Linked DNA regions of Drosophila melanogaster. The protein of the gene in region 1 interacts with the protein of each later gene in a pairwise test. Each region holds a gene or a part of one and is shown in the gene's direction. Other genes may lie near its edges.

What was found. Proteins that work in one complex are often made in the same cells at the same time.
Region 2: the proteins of CG17776 (region 1) and Debcl interact in a two-hybrid assay, tested with the Drosophila melanogaster proteins (one large-scale study listed by BioGRID).
Region 3: the proteins of CG17776 (region 1) and whd interact in a two-hybrid assay, tested with the Drosophila melanogaster proteins (one large-scale study listed by BioGRID).

The regions. Positions count from the first base shown.
Region 1 is NC_004354.4:2,182,913-2,185,810, forward strand, and holds CG17776 (uncharacterized protein), read left to right. Parts: upstream 1-1,812; 5' UTR 1,813-2,052; coding exon 2,053-2,265; 3' UTR 2,266-2,346; downstream 2,347-2,898. Other genes in the region: Nmd3 (Nonsense-mediated mRNA 3), read right to left, coding at 1-637, 698-1,626.
Region 2 is NT_033778.4:6,646,732-6,653,399, forward strand, and holds Debcl (death executioner Bcl-2), read left to right. Parts: upstream 1-1,922; 5' UTR 1,923-2,547; coding exon 2,548-2,847; intron 2,848-5,257; coding exon 5,258-5,401; intron 5,402-5,456; coding exon 5,457-5,915; 3' UTR 5,916-6,111; downstream 6,112-6,668. Other genes in the region: Opbp (Optix-binding protein), read left to right, coding at 6,584-6,590, 6,642-6,668.
Region 3 is NT_033778.4:10,475,511-10,480,492, reverse strand, and holds the start of whd (withered), read left to right. Parts: upstream 1-1,925; 5' UTR 1,926-2,133; intron 2,134-2,187; exon of another isoform or gene 2,188-2,450; intron 2,451-4,982. Other genes in the region: Pef (peflin), read right to left, coding at 1-170, 230-238; trsn (translin), read left to right, coding at 455-529, 583-670, 737-833, 896-1,011, 1,068-1,399.

The DNA.
Region 1 (2,898 bases):
CTACAACTGTGGCTCGGTATCGTCAGCACCTCCCTCCTCGCCCATTTCGTCGTCTGCACACTCTAATGTCATATCTTCCAACATCTCCTCCAGTGTGATCTGGGGCACATCACCTCCAGCGGCCTGTACCTCGATTGGTATCGTCTTGTTAGTGTCCCGATAGATGTTGACCTGACCGCGGATATCCTCGTTTTCCTCGAGATCGTCAAGAAACTCGTGGTAGTCGTACTTGCTGCGCTCATCGGTAGCCTCCGCCGCCAGATGCTTAATCTTCCACACGCGCTGACTGAGTCTGGTCTGTCGATCGTAGTGCTTGCGCACAAGAATTACATCCGGAATTTCATCCGACGACAATTTGTCGAACTCCAGATCGTTGATGTTGGCCTCTCCGGTGTTGTAGCCCATTACGGAATCGCCCACCTTGAGCAGGTGGCCCAAGTGGGAGCGTGTGTGAATGGGGTTATCGTTGATGCCCAGCTCCGAGGCGCGCACCACCCAAATGTCGCAGAGAGCGTGCTTGAAGGAAACCTGCCCTTGACCAGGATAGGTCTTTCGATCCTTTTCCATGATCACATCAATGTCCATGACGACGTACTCAACCAGCTGCTTGGGATTGCAGACGGCCTCAAAGGGAGCTCTGAAAAAAGCAATTTAATTGGCTTACTCGAAGATAACCTTTGTCAAATAGGAGTCCCACCTGAAATAGACCTGCGAGGTGAGTTCTGCAATCTGTGCGGTCAGGGGATCAATCAAGTGAATGCTGCTAGACACCCGGTTGACCAGAACCAATGGCGAGAGATTTCCCAGCTGGTGGCGCAGCTTTTTGGACAGGCAAACTGCACTGTCCTTCGATACTGGTGCTATTTCCACTGACCAGTTGTACTTGTAGTTATAGTTGTTGCTGTGGATGTCGTGAGAGATGAGACGCTTCGAGGTTGTTACCTTGCCGGGCACCATGGTCAGGAGGAAATCAACCATGCGCCGGGCATGATTATCATTGGCATAGAAGAAATCCAGGCCGCCATGCTCCGGCTTTATGCCCAGAGTGTTCTCGTGGGCTTTGTGCTTAAGGATCAGCTGTTCCAGATAGTAAAAGGTTTTCTTGTTCTCGGCCCGCTGACGAACCTGCACGAGGCAGCGCCAGAAGTCCTTGGCCTCGGTCCGATGGCAGTCGTTGCACATCTGGTTCTGCACAGTGAACTCCACCACGAATACCTGCTGGAGCATCGTTCCCCCGATGATCTCCCCATGCACAGTCAGCTTCACCTTTATGCGCTTGGAGTGCTGTTCTGTCCAGATGAAGCCGGCATCCACCAACTTCACTTCCTTCAGGCCTTTTAGCTTCTTAAGGCAAATGGCCAAGAGTTCGCGGGACTCCAAGGCGGCCTGTATCCACTCGTTCGGCGGTTGCAGATAGCGCTCGCAATTACGACAGAAGTGGAGCACGGCCTGCTTTGGGATGTTCTCCGTGATGTCGACATGGTTGCGCAGGCAGGTGACGCACATGTTGGCCGGATTCGGCTGGATGGCCACTCCGCACTCGCAGCACAGGATGACGGCGTTCGATCCGGCGCCCTTGCCGTCCGCTGCGCCCAGCGGGCTAACCCCAACGTATTCGTGATCCATGAATCCTCCGGAGGTCTATTCGGTCCAGCTATTTCACAATGGCGTTGTAGAATACGATGAAATATTCCCACGAAGTACACAAATTTGTAAACACGTGCGTATAGGTGTATATCGATTGGCCAGAGATCAGCGATATTATTAATCGGCGATTTAAGTTAAGCCTTTTCCAGCTAGAGTAGCTAAAAGTGAGATTAACGATAAAACGACGTTAAACGAGTGAGACTCAAAGCTAAATGGGACATTTGGAACGATTTCCTAAAATTCACTTAAAAATATAGTACTCATTCGACTGTCTTCATCTTTATTTTGGCTAGTAAATGTACGCCCAATTATCGATACATTCGCCGCCGTCATCACTGACAGACCAGCTGAGGCGACGGACTCGACTGCCGGAAACTTTTATGGACTTGGAAGGGATTTGCCGCCATGCAGAAGAAGCCGATTAACACCAACACGCTGCTGGACAAGCTGCACCGCGGCGCGGTGTATGCCTGCATTGGAGTCACCCTGTACGGCACCTACATCCTGGGAATGCGCTACTACCACTACTGCACGGTCATCCGACCGGAGAAGCAGCAGGCGGAGCTGAAGCTCCTGGACGAGGGAGCCCACGACAAGGCCAAGGAACTGAAGTACTAGGCGCGCCCTCCTCCGCCCCTTTAATTGTTAAATGTCTGTTAAGCGCAATAAACTGTAAGGAAATGTAAGCATTTTCAGCTGAAAACGGCCAACGCCGGTTGTTGTTGTGTAACCTCGGACAGCTGGCCAAAGTGGAGGACCGTCGGCAGGCCCGGTGGGATTGTAAGATTCCAGATTCAAGATCTAACCCTGGAACCAAGCCAACAATGCGCAATTAGCCGTCTGGGCCGTAAATCAAACTGGTCGGCTACAATGGGAAATCAATCAATCGACAGCGACATGGACATCGACCCGTTCGGCGGACTAGACTTAGTCAAGAATTATAATTTAGCTGGCAATCAAATATGTTGTCATCTCCGGATCGTGACCAGGTCCCAGTCCATAGACCAAACCCCTTGGCTGCTTGGTCTTCCGCTTGCCCAACGCGTCTCGCGTGCATTCACCTCCAATGGGCAGAGCATAAATATTAAACGATGTGGATACGAAAACAACCGCGGGGAGAAGGAGACAATGGCGGTGCCACCCACTTTTGGCCAGAGATGGCGAGACGTCGTCGATTGGGAAAATCTTTTGCATGCTTCATTCAACAATGTTGCCTCCGGCGTTGCTTCATTCATGACTTGGGAACTCGGA
Region 2 (6,668 bases), on another chromosome or scaffold:
TTTATTTTTTATCTCATTTTTAAAACTTCTGATAACAAGAACACCTGTTAATGACTCAAACAAATTTCTTTTAAGCCTTGAGGTCCTATCCAAGGAATCTTTTGGGTCCCAACCGGAATGTGCGTTTATTGATCCGAAACCAAAGTCCTCCACGGGTAATATCGCCTCCAAAAGGAGCGACCGATGCTTGCATCGCTGATCTCAGATCTTAGATCGAAGAATACGGACAATAATCGTTTAGAGATAAAAGATCCAAAATTTGCGAACATCACATTTATAAGTTTGTAGTTCGCTCCCCCACAGTCTTGATATTGGCGGCAAGATGTTCTCTCGAAAAGCTTATTCCAGAGCTTTTCGTTTCGATAAAAGTTGGACTGCAGATCTGAAAGAAAGTATAATATGTAAATATCTTGAGAAGTTAATAAAATGGGTGATAAAGTAATACGACATTGGTAATTATCAAAATAGTCGGTATTCGGATTTGGAACCGGCGGAACGATGCTTCTTAGATTGATCTGATTCAATAGTTCGGTTAGATTCATTTAAAAAATCTTACATAAGCTTAAAAAACGAGAACGACACCTTTATCGTCCTAGTCCGATACACTGCAAAAATTCGCGTATCAGCGTTATTTTTATCAAAAAAATTATCTTTTTGTTACGAACGCGTAAGCAATTCAAGGTGGGATTAATCCTAAATGTGGGGATAGTTCAGCAAACTAACATTATAAAGAATATTTAATTACACACGTTACTCATCATAAAAAAGGATAACTAACCGAGTCGGTCTGGCCATGTCAATCTGGCAAGCAGATTCTACACACGACTGTGGAAGATTGTTTGAGAACGTTGCTATGCAATCGCTAATGCACAAAACTGTTACAACTACATTTTTGAAACAAGTCGGTATTTTTTCCATTTTATTGAATTATTTAGTTTATTGATCCAACGAAACGAAAGTCCTCCTCGAGTAATATCACCTCCAAAAGGGGCGACCGATGCCTGCATCTCTTATCTGAGATCATAGATCGAAGCCTACGGACATTTATCGTTTAGTGATAAAATATTTAAGTTTTTGAACATCACATTTAGCAGTTTGGAGATCGCTCCCTTACAGTTTTGAAATTGGCGGCAATAGCTTTCTGGTTCCATAACAGTTTTAGATCCGAAAGTAAGTATAATATATCTTGAGAAGTTAATCAAATGGTTGTCAGAGTAATACATCGTTGGTGAAAAAAATTTGGTTTCCATTTTACAATTATATCAAAGCAATCGGTATTCGGTTTCGAGAGCGAAGCCGTTATTTCGAAACCGTTACCGCGAACCGGTTCCCAGCGAGCCGCGGCTCGCCAGTCGCGAAAACACAACGAATGCACAATCTAGAGGTGGAGAAATATTGATGTTGGCGGGCATCAAAGCTTCCAATGTTTTTGGCGAAAAACATCGATGTTTAAAATAAAAACAACAAAATTTACCTGCTTAATTTAATGATTATTTTTTAATATTGCTTAAATAAAAAGGCAGTACTTTAAGAAAAGAAAAACAAACTTATTGTCGTCTCCGTTTTCATCAGCCGCTGGTCCAATAGTTGCTCCTATAAAACAAATTAATACAATTAAATGGAAAAGTAAACCAGTATGCATACGAGCAACTGCAAGTGCACAAATCGGGAGTTCAAAACTAACATTTCAGATATTAATCCATGTGCTATGTTATGCTTTTAATAATTGCATTAGAAAATATGGAAAATTAATTTGTACTTACAATTCATACACTTTTCTTCTCCGATGCGCAGTAGAGATGGAAAAACATCGATGTTTTCTCGAAAAACATCGATGTTTATGATTTTTCAAAAACATCGATGTTTCTCCACCTCTACAACGAACGCACAATCACAAGCGCCGCTCGCGAGAACGAGAACGGGAACTCGAAAGAACCTAGATCGCTGATCGGAGAACCGTGGAACCCGTGGAACCGTAACCGTGAAAGTGGGGAATCGAAGATAGAACGGAGAGGGTGGTAGGCCGATTCCCTCTCCCCACTGCCCGTTGAAATTCAGAATACTAAGCTCTCGGTTAAACGCGGCGAAAAAGAAAGCAAGCTCTGAGCGGCTGAAAAAAAAATGAAGTGAAATAAAACTGGGATCGCGGCACCAGCAACAAGTTTTAGTGGCTCTTCTTTGTGCGTTTCGTTCGTGTTTGCTGCCCTGCGCTTTGCTCGCCACATTCGTCGCCGACTTTTATTTTGTTTTGCCCATTTTATCAGAATCGGAGCACCTCCAAAAAAGCCCAAGACGAGCTGAGCCTCAGCTGCGTCGAGGTGAGCTGATCCACTCCGCTCCCCTTTCGTGCGCTGCCCACCGCTCCCCACCGCTCACACCCGATCCCATCCAATCCAATCCGATCCGCTCCGCTCCGAGTGCATAGTGCATGCAAAGTCGCGGGGCTGGGCTTTCGGAATTACACAACCCACATGGGGCAGCGCCAACAAAGGCCTCAGCAGCAACAATAGCGGGCAGCCAAGCATTGCCCTGCCCTCGACTTCGACCATGGCTCCCACCACCAGTCCGCCACCCAAGCTGGCCAAGTTCAAGTCCTCGTCGCTGGACCACGAGATCTACACGGCCAATCGCCGCGGCACCATTGCCACGGCCTCCAGCGACTGGAAGGCGCTCCGCGGAGGCGTCGGTGGAGGAGCAGGAGGACCCGGTAGCGTACCCAATCCCTCTAACGGACGCTCCCTTCACGCCGGCGGACCCATGACACGGGCCGCCTCCACATCCTCGCTGGCTAGCAGTACGCGCACGATGACTAACTACCAGGAGTACAAAATGGATATCATCAACCAGGTGAGGACCAGAAATGGGTGACCAGTGGCTCCGTCCTTTGCTATGGACAATTTGGGAATTATTTAGTTGAAGTCTTGAGAGTATGCTGGGACTGTTGCCTTATAAAGTAAGCGTCTGATTCAGCATATGTTCAAAAAAATTTACGAGTGTTACTCAGCCAATGGAATTGCAAGGAAGTTAAATAGGGAGATATTCACCAGCAAAGTGAGTGTTTCAGCAAGGAACTATTGAATGCCTTGGATTAGCTTTAATCTTTTGCAGAATTCTAGAATTCCGATGGGTATTCTTAAATATAAGACCAATTCGTACACATAGAGGCAGCTATGTATGTATGTATGTGGTCCAGACCAAGCAGATGTCTTCCTTATAGGCCAGAATTCTCTAAAATTATACAATTACAGTCATTTCGGTTGGAAAATTAGAAAAACTAAGCCAAGATAATACAAATTAAATTTGCAAGTGGTTTTAAAAGCATTATGAACTTTAGCGGTCAAGGCTTTGTTACAAATAATTTATATTCTTTTGACAAGTTTTCAGGGCTCATATGCATTGTTTTAATGTTGAAATTTACAATAGATACTTCTTCGATAAATAAGACTTCTTATAGTTCATAGCAATGCGCCTGGTGATATAAAAGTTTAATCAACACAAATACTTAAATTTCTTAAGAGGTTGAGGACATGTGCTTTACTTTAAGGTGTAATTATTTTAAACATGACTCGGTTTCAACCCACATTTAAATATATAGTTTTGCGTTAAAATAGTTAAAAACCTTGATAATAGTTATATATATTAGTTGTTATAGTTATTCTATTCCAGCCTTATGTTGCCACTCAATGTTTTTTTTTTAAATTATTTTAAGTAATATCTAACGTTATCAACATAGAATGAGTCAGAAAATAAACTGGTCATGCATCGGAACATGTGCACATAATTAAAACCGATTTTTGAGACATACATATAAATACAACAGTTTGGTGATTAAATATTCAGCAAGTACGCAAAATGAGAAACACAACACAAAACTAAAAGAAAAAGCTGTTCAAACAAATTGCCTAATTTCGTGGACAAATTTCGAAATTGCCAAAATGAAACGGAACAGACAACTGCAAACAGATTCCAATTTAATGTGCAGAACTGTTTGCGGTATCAACTAATTTTCGATGGCTCTGATCGAGGACGATCCATCCGAATCTCTGCTATCCACCATTTGGGTCTTGACTGTCTCAACTTAATTGATAAGGCAAATATTTTTGTTTCCACCATTCGTTTATCTGAGACTGATAAAACTATTTACTCCGCTCCTCCAGGTGAGCGACATGTAAAGTGTTTATTAAATATATTTGCCTATGTGGTTGCTTTCGCCGGGCTGATAACTTCTTGAGGAATTTATCATTAAGCGCATTGCGGAAGTTTTCTCAGAATGCAGTCCTCTAAAGTAAACGCCATTTTCTCTGACAAATCAGATGGAATGGGCCATAACCAGGCTGCATAGAGGTTTTCAAGGAAAATAATAGCAACTAAAGAAAAGGGAAGAACCGCGAAAGCGCCACGGGTGGAACCATTATAAACAAGTATTCCAAAAATAAACCGACCACTAACTATACAACCCGAAAGCCTCAGGTGATGAATTCATCGAACTCTGGCCATTCAAGTAAATCTTATGGTATTTGGTCGCACCAAACCCGCCAAAAGGAAAGAGTTGGGCGCACAAGTGTTCGCCATAACAAGATCACGTAAACAAATTGACGGATTTATTAATATTTCGCTGGGAGGCTGGACGGGTTCGGAGTAGCTTCGATAGACTTTTCAAGACACTAGCTTCAAGGCCGGTGATTTGGCATGGGCTTGATTTCTTTGGCTGGCCATGTCATAAGTCAAGTTGGCTCCAAAGTGAGTAATTGTCTGTTTACTTGGCTGCGGAATCGTTGGCGTGACGAACGGTAATTGTGCGACATAAATTGTCGAAGGAAACTTGCAACTAAATGGGTCGGAATTGAACGCAACATGGTGGGGAATGCCTTAATTACGCCAAACGTTTCGCGTCTTTCAGATTCCATAAGTAAATTTTTAGTTGTCTTAATGCCTTTCCACAGCACGTGCTGATCGCTTCTTTTGTTTAAGTCGTTGTTCAAAGTTTATTACCGCCATGTGCACCTGCCATCAGTTTGGCTGCATGTTTAGATACTCTGTAAGAGGTGTGATTGAAATAGCCCAGGTGTCTACGGAATCCTGTAAACGGATTCAGAGCGACGTAAATAGAACATATGCATGTTCGCCGGAAAACTCGAGGCAGTCGATTGATATTGTTTAAGTGGCCCGCTGATGGAGCGAAATTGCCTGGCAATGATCAAAGCACTGTAGTTAATTTGATTGTGATTGAACTTTTGGCTTTGTCGTTCTATTCCAGGGGAAATGTCTGTGTGGTCAGTACATCAGAGCGCGGCTGCGACGGGCAGGAGTCCTCAACCGGAAGGTGACACAGCGTTTGCGCAACATCCTGGACCCCGGCTCCTCGCACGTGGTCTATGAAGTTTTCCCGGCACTGAACAGCGTGAGTGTACTGCCATTCGCCATTGAATCTTTTCATAACATGGTATAATCCACAGATGGGCGAGGAACTGGAGCGGATGCACCCGCGGGTGTACACAAACATATCGCGACAGCTGTCGAGGGCCCCGTTTGGCGAGCTGGAGGACAGCGACATGGCGCCCATGTTGCTCAACCTAGTTGCCAAGGATCTTTTTCGCTCCAGCATCACCTGGGGCAAGATAATCTCGATATTTGCCGTATGCGGCGGCTTTGCCATAGACTGCGTGCGCCAGGGACATTTCGACTACCTACAGTGCCTGATTGACGGTCTGGCTGAGATCATAGAGGACGACCTGGTCTACTGGCTGATCGACAACGGCGGATGGTTGGGCCTGTCGCGGCACATCCGACCCCGGGTCGGCGAATTTACGTTCTTGGGATGGTTGACGCTGTTCGTGACTATCTCTGCAGGCGCATATATGGTCTCAAACGTGTGTCGGCGCATTGGAGGTCAACTGTATTCGCTGCTGTTCTAGATTCGCTTGGGATCGCGTCGTTAAGAAATACAATCGTACCATTTAGTCAATGAGAGCTTCAAATCATTCCTGCTTCCATGGGCACCAGTCGTTTAGTAGTATGTAACGGACCCTGTTTTACGTATAATATTGTTATTCCCTTTCTCCTCTTTTTGTACATACAAGGCTATTCTAGGCGCAATAAAGCGTGTGTTGTAAACTTTTTTTTCGAATTTGGCGCGAAGTCTGGGTGTTATGCACGGAACTGCATTACTTTATGTCCGTGTTTAGCAACACTGGAAACGCCGTGGAGGTGCCAATATTTTGAGTACGACAATTCGTCTTTAAAATGTTATAGTGCCCAATCTTTGACTGTTGAACAGTGTATCTGTTACCAGAAATTAAAGACGAATCGACTAACATAATCTCTCAGTTAAACAAAAAATATAAAAGTTAACTTTGCTGACAAAAGTTTTTATAATTTTGTAATTACTGGTTCAATGTTCTAGTCTTTAAAATAAATGTTATTAACATTTTAAATTTTGATTGTTAGCCTTGCCACCCAGCTAAAACGCAAATACTTACCCAGCCCTGTGGCAACGCTTCGATTTCCAAAAACCATTTGTTATTATTGCTGTGGATCTGCCCATTATTATTTGTTGTAAATAAAGATTGGAGCAAATTATGCCATGTCATGTAAGTGCACTGATTCCGTGGGTATGAACGTCGAGTAACATGCACTTGCAGCGTCCAACCAGGCCGAGGAGACTACCC
Region 3 (4,982 bases), on another chromosome or scaffold:
ACCAGGGCCGCCTGCAACTCGGAAGCGTTTATCTTTCCAGATCGGTCGCGGTCCACCATGGAGAACCATTGCTGTGCCTGCGGAGACACCTGGGCATTCTGCGGCGGAAATGCTCCTGGCGGCGGGGCATAGCCACCACCGGGCTGGGCATACGGGTTATAGCCTTGTCCCTGTGGATAAACGGTAGTAAGTACATTTAATCCACTTTCTTAAGCATAAACACACTCACATAAGACATTTTGTCACGAGCCTAGTTCGATTCTAATTGGAACTTGAGGGACAAAACAATTTTAATGAAACTACAGATGACAAGAAGGGCGTTCACCAACACTGGTTTGGGCAAGCGATAACAATGTGACATATCGATAGCATTGCTAGACTTATTGCTTGGCTATACTCCCATCCCTATCGCCGGTATAAACAACTAACAAAAGCAGCAAAACATTAAGCAAAAATGTCGAACTTCGTGAACTTGGACATCTTCTCCAACTACCAAAAGTACATAGACAATGAACAGGAAGTCAGGGAGGTGAGTTGACGGTTAATATCCTAAAAACCACCATCTTAAACCATTGTTTTTAGAACATCCGCATTGTGGTGCGCGAAATCGAGCATTTGTCAAAGGAAGCGCAGATTAAACTGCAGATTATTCATAGCGATTTGAGCCAGAGTAAGTTCTGTACAATTTGGTAGCTTGTATGTTTTGTTCTAATATGACATTATACTTGAACAATAGTTAGTGCCGCCTGCGGCTTAGCCCGCAAACAGGTTGAGCTGTGTGCCCAAAAGTACCAGAAATTGGCCGAACTGGTGCCAGCTGGGCAGTACTACAGGTGAGTCAGATGGTGAAATCCGTGGTGTCTATTGTGGGTGTCGAATGCTCCGCCTTCTCCAGATACTCCGATCACTGGACCTTCATTACGCAGCGTTTGATCTTCATCATTGCCTTGGTTATTTACCTGGAGGCGGGCTTCTTGGTCACCCGCGAAACAGTGGCCGAAATGCTGGGATGTAAGCTAGATTTGGAAGGCTCTCTGGATACGAAATAATAGTTAATTACTCCACAGTGAAGATCAGCCAGTCTGAGGGCTTCCATCTGGATGTGGAGGACTATCTACTGGGCATACTGCAGTTGGCGTCGGAGCTCTCCCGATTCGCTACCAATTCCGTCACCATGGGCGACTACGAGCGTCCCCTGAATATCTCCCATTTTATTGGTGACCTGAACACGGGCTTCCGTCTGCTGAACCTGAAGAACGATGGCTTGCGAAAGCGCTTCGATGCCTTAAAGTATGATGTCAAGAAGATCGAGGAGGTCGTCTACGATGTCAGCATACGCGGTCTGTCCAGCAAGGAAAAGGACCAGCAGGAGGAGCCGGCTGTTCCTGCAACCGAATAGTTTACTTCGTACGTAGGATAAGGCGTTTATTAAAATGAAAAAGTTTCATTTAAACAAGCAAATATATTACATTCATTAAACAGAGTATCATTTTATTTTACTATTTAAATCAGGAATGCTCGTAGGAATCAAATGTAGCAGGATATATGTATGTAATCCTGTGTTAAAAATCTGAAATGTGTTTTTGTTTTTTTTCAGAACACATTTCTTTACATCTTAATAGGCACCATCTTATTTTAATGATCAGTTTACACAGAAGCGAAATAGTGCTTTGAACCATAACAAAAAAACATAAGTTTGTGCAACTTAAAGGTAATTAAAATGGCTGTGCGCGTTTTGATTAAATCATAACTAAGTATACATAGAGACAAGTGCAGAAGTTTGATGGCTTAACCCTTTTGAAACTTGTTTAGCCACCACCACTGGGCCGCAGTTGTTGTTGTTGCCCCGATCATATGGTGGATTTGTTGCTGCTCTTCTTTGGCCGCTGCTTCCGTTTCGCCTTTGCTTCTGCTTCTCAGGCGCAGTTTCAGTCTCTCTTTTGCCACCGCAACGCTTACAACGTTAACATTGCGCGCGCGTCTTTGCATTTTCTTGTTTGCTGCTTCGTCGTCCGTCGTCCTTCCCGTGTTGTTCTTATTGTTTTTTCCCGCTTTGTGCGCTCTTTATTGTTTCGCCCTTTCTAGCATTTTGATTTGAAAGTGGAGACTGCAATTGGTTACCATTTCAAGAAAGTAAGTCTGGCGGGCAGTTGGCCGTGTGAAAAGTCCGTTGGCCCAGAAACTCACCCGCTCTCTTGACCACGCCCCCTTTTCCGTCCCCGGCCCGAAAAAAAAGCTAAAAACTGAGAGACTCCAACCTGTTTGGCAATAATTGGGTCACAAATCTGGTAAAAACTTGTTGCCCGAAATGGTCACTAAACAAATAGCACTGTTTTTATTACAAAACTTTAGTTGAGTCTGCAGTTGCCTTGTTGTTGTTTGTTTGTTTTAATTTTTTTATTTCGTTCCGCAGACATAGTTGTTGTTTGGTGTTTTTCAAAACACGCTTTAATCGAAGCGGTTCAAAGTCCGAAACAAGTTTCCTGAGAGGCTTAACGGGGCACGCTCTCTCCTTGTTGCTCTTTCCCCTCTTCTTACAACGCACTGAGTGGGAGGAGAGCGAGAAATACTGAGAGAGCTTTCGACGTAAACATCTGAAAAGCAAAACCACAACAGACACCCACACACTGACGGGCAGGTGTTGCTCTCTGCGTCTCTCTTTCTTCCTACCCCCATTCCAACTTTCTTGCATTCTCATTTCGAAGGGAAAATGCCAAGGAAAAGCCCAGCCGCAAACCAACAACAAAAAGTCAATATAATAAACCCAGAATCCGAGTGCTAACTGTTATGGAAAGTAGCGAAACCATTAGCTATGGACCTCCTTCATTGAGTGTTTTGCTTGCATACCCGGCAATTAAAGACTTGCAGGGTATGTGTATTTTCAATACATCAAAAAACAAAAAATAATATATAGAATATATTTTAGTATCGAAAAAGATTTAAAAAAAATTGAAAAATTTTAAAATACGCCCTAATATTAGTTGTATTCCTCAAAGTCATATTTTTTTGAGTATCGTCTACTGTAAGTATTCAATTAGTAGTGGGTATGTCTTGAGACAAAATCATTTTAGTAAGTTTGCTTGTTTATTTCGCATGGTAATTACACGTTTATAGAACTATTAACCTGCATTGAATATGGTTGTCAAATAAAAATATTAGGTATACCTTGTTATGACCGCTTTTAACGACCACACTCAACCAATAGTGTGTTACGTTTTTAAGTGTCGCAGTACTTCAGAAATGTTCACAGCACTTTTAGTTCAATAACTCATGTGAATCCATGTAATAGTGGATATCTTGTAGTCGAGTATCTCAAAGATACCCCGCTCGCTTTATCAATTTTCGTTGCGCTGGCCGCGGCAGCTGTGAATGATTTGCAAGGGGTCCCAGCGCAACTGGTTCCCAGCGCCTTTGTGCTGCCCCTCGGAACCCGACCCTCCAGAGCCACCAATACCTCGATCGTACCGCTCTCGTTAGACATGCGTGGCTGGCTGCCTCTGTCGTTCGCAGTCGCCGCACATTTCAAGTTTGCTACGGTTCAAAGTCCAAACCCAAGATACAAATACCAGCACCAGCAGCACCATTTCGTTTTCATCGCAGTGGTTATTTTAAATCGAAATTCTCCAATCTGGGCACACTTTCGATGGGGGGGGGGGGGGGGTTACGAAGATCCCGGTCGTGCGATAAGCAGACGACATTTATGCCAGGTAGACACTTCCAACGCGTCACCGATTGCACTAGGTTATTCTGACAGCAATCACCTCTTATCGGAACCGCGTGCTCGAGCAATCCTTATCAGACCACCGAAATTGCGTACCACTGGAGTTCTCACAGGCCCCCCGCCACTGCGATTATTGGACTTTCAACAATAAATAGTGAGCGATAGGTTTTATCGCCTCCCTCAATTGTTGCTTATCCCCGCCACCTCATTGGCCCGTTTTCGGTTATAGAATCAGATCGTACATATGTACATACATATATTTAAGACTTGTTTTTCAGCTGGTTTATCAAGTAAGCTGGCTAACCATAGTGATGTAACAGCGATAAGAACAGGTGTGGAGAGCCCATCTTCAGATCTCAAGTTGCTTACCTAAACCGCATGCCGATAAAGTGCCATCTGCGCAGAGGTCAGAGTCCACTTGCCGAATTTTAAAGCCTAATCTTTATGATATGAACTCTGATATTACCAAATCGCGCCGTCTGCAATCTCGAATATGAGTTATTTATGTTTTGTTTTTTTTTTTATAGCACAGCGAAAGATATATGGGATAAGCACCAAATACAATCTTATTTTATCATGCCCTTTAGACTTGAAAGGAATCTTATCAACTTACAGCTGTGTATGTAGATTTAAAATACTAAGTGAAATCTAAGTGAATTGTTACCCCTGTTTATTGTCATTATGTATTGAGCGAGGCAAACTAGAATGCTAAGTATATTATAGTATATGTGTTCATAGGCTCTCCACCTTAGTTTTGACAAGAAATATAAACGACTTTACATAATTGTAATATATATCTTTCGAATCTTGATAAGCCGACTGATAGGCGACCTAGATTCTTAGAAATTTGTCTAGCCACGTCGAAAAAGTTGAATTTTAAAAAACGCATTATCGAGGCTAACTGCGCATACCCCTCAAACGATGAGTACACCCATCTTATATACACACTTGTAGGTGTTTATTGGACCCAATCACATATCCATTTCGCCACAAGATAAGGCCCAATCGATCTGAAGAGAGCGAATTCCCGGAATATCGCCGGTCAATACACTCCACACGGGCACACACCCCCCACCACACACTCCACTTTTCGACGAGCCTCTCGACTGGTGACGCATCCATACCAATACCATACTATACCATACTATATCATACAATACCAAACTCTACCATACAATGTACCATACCAAAAGCACAATCGACTGTGGGCTATACTCGTAGTATCTCCGTCTCGGCGCTCCGCTCCGAGTGCTTTTAAGAC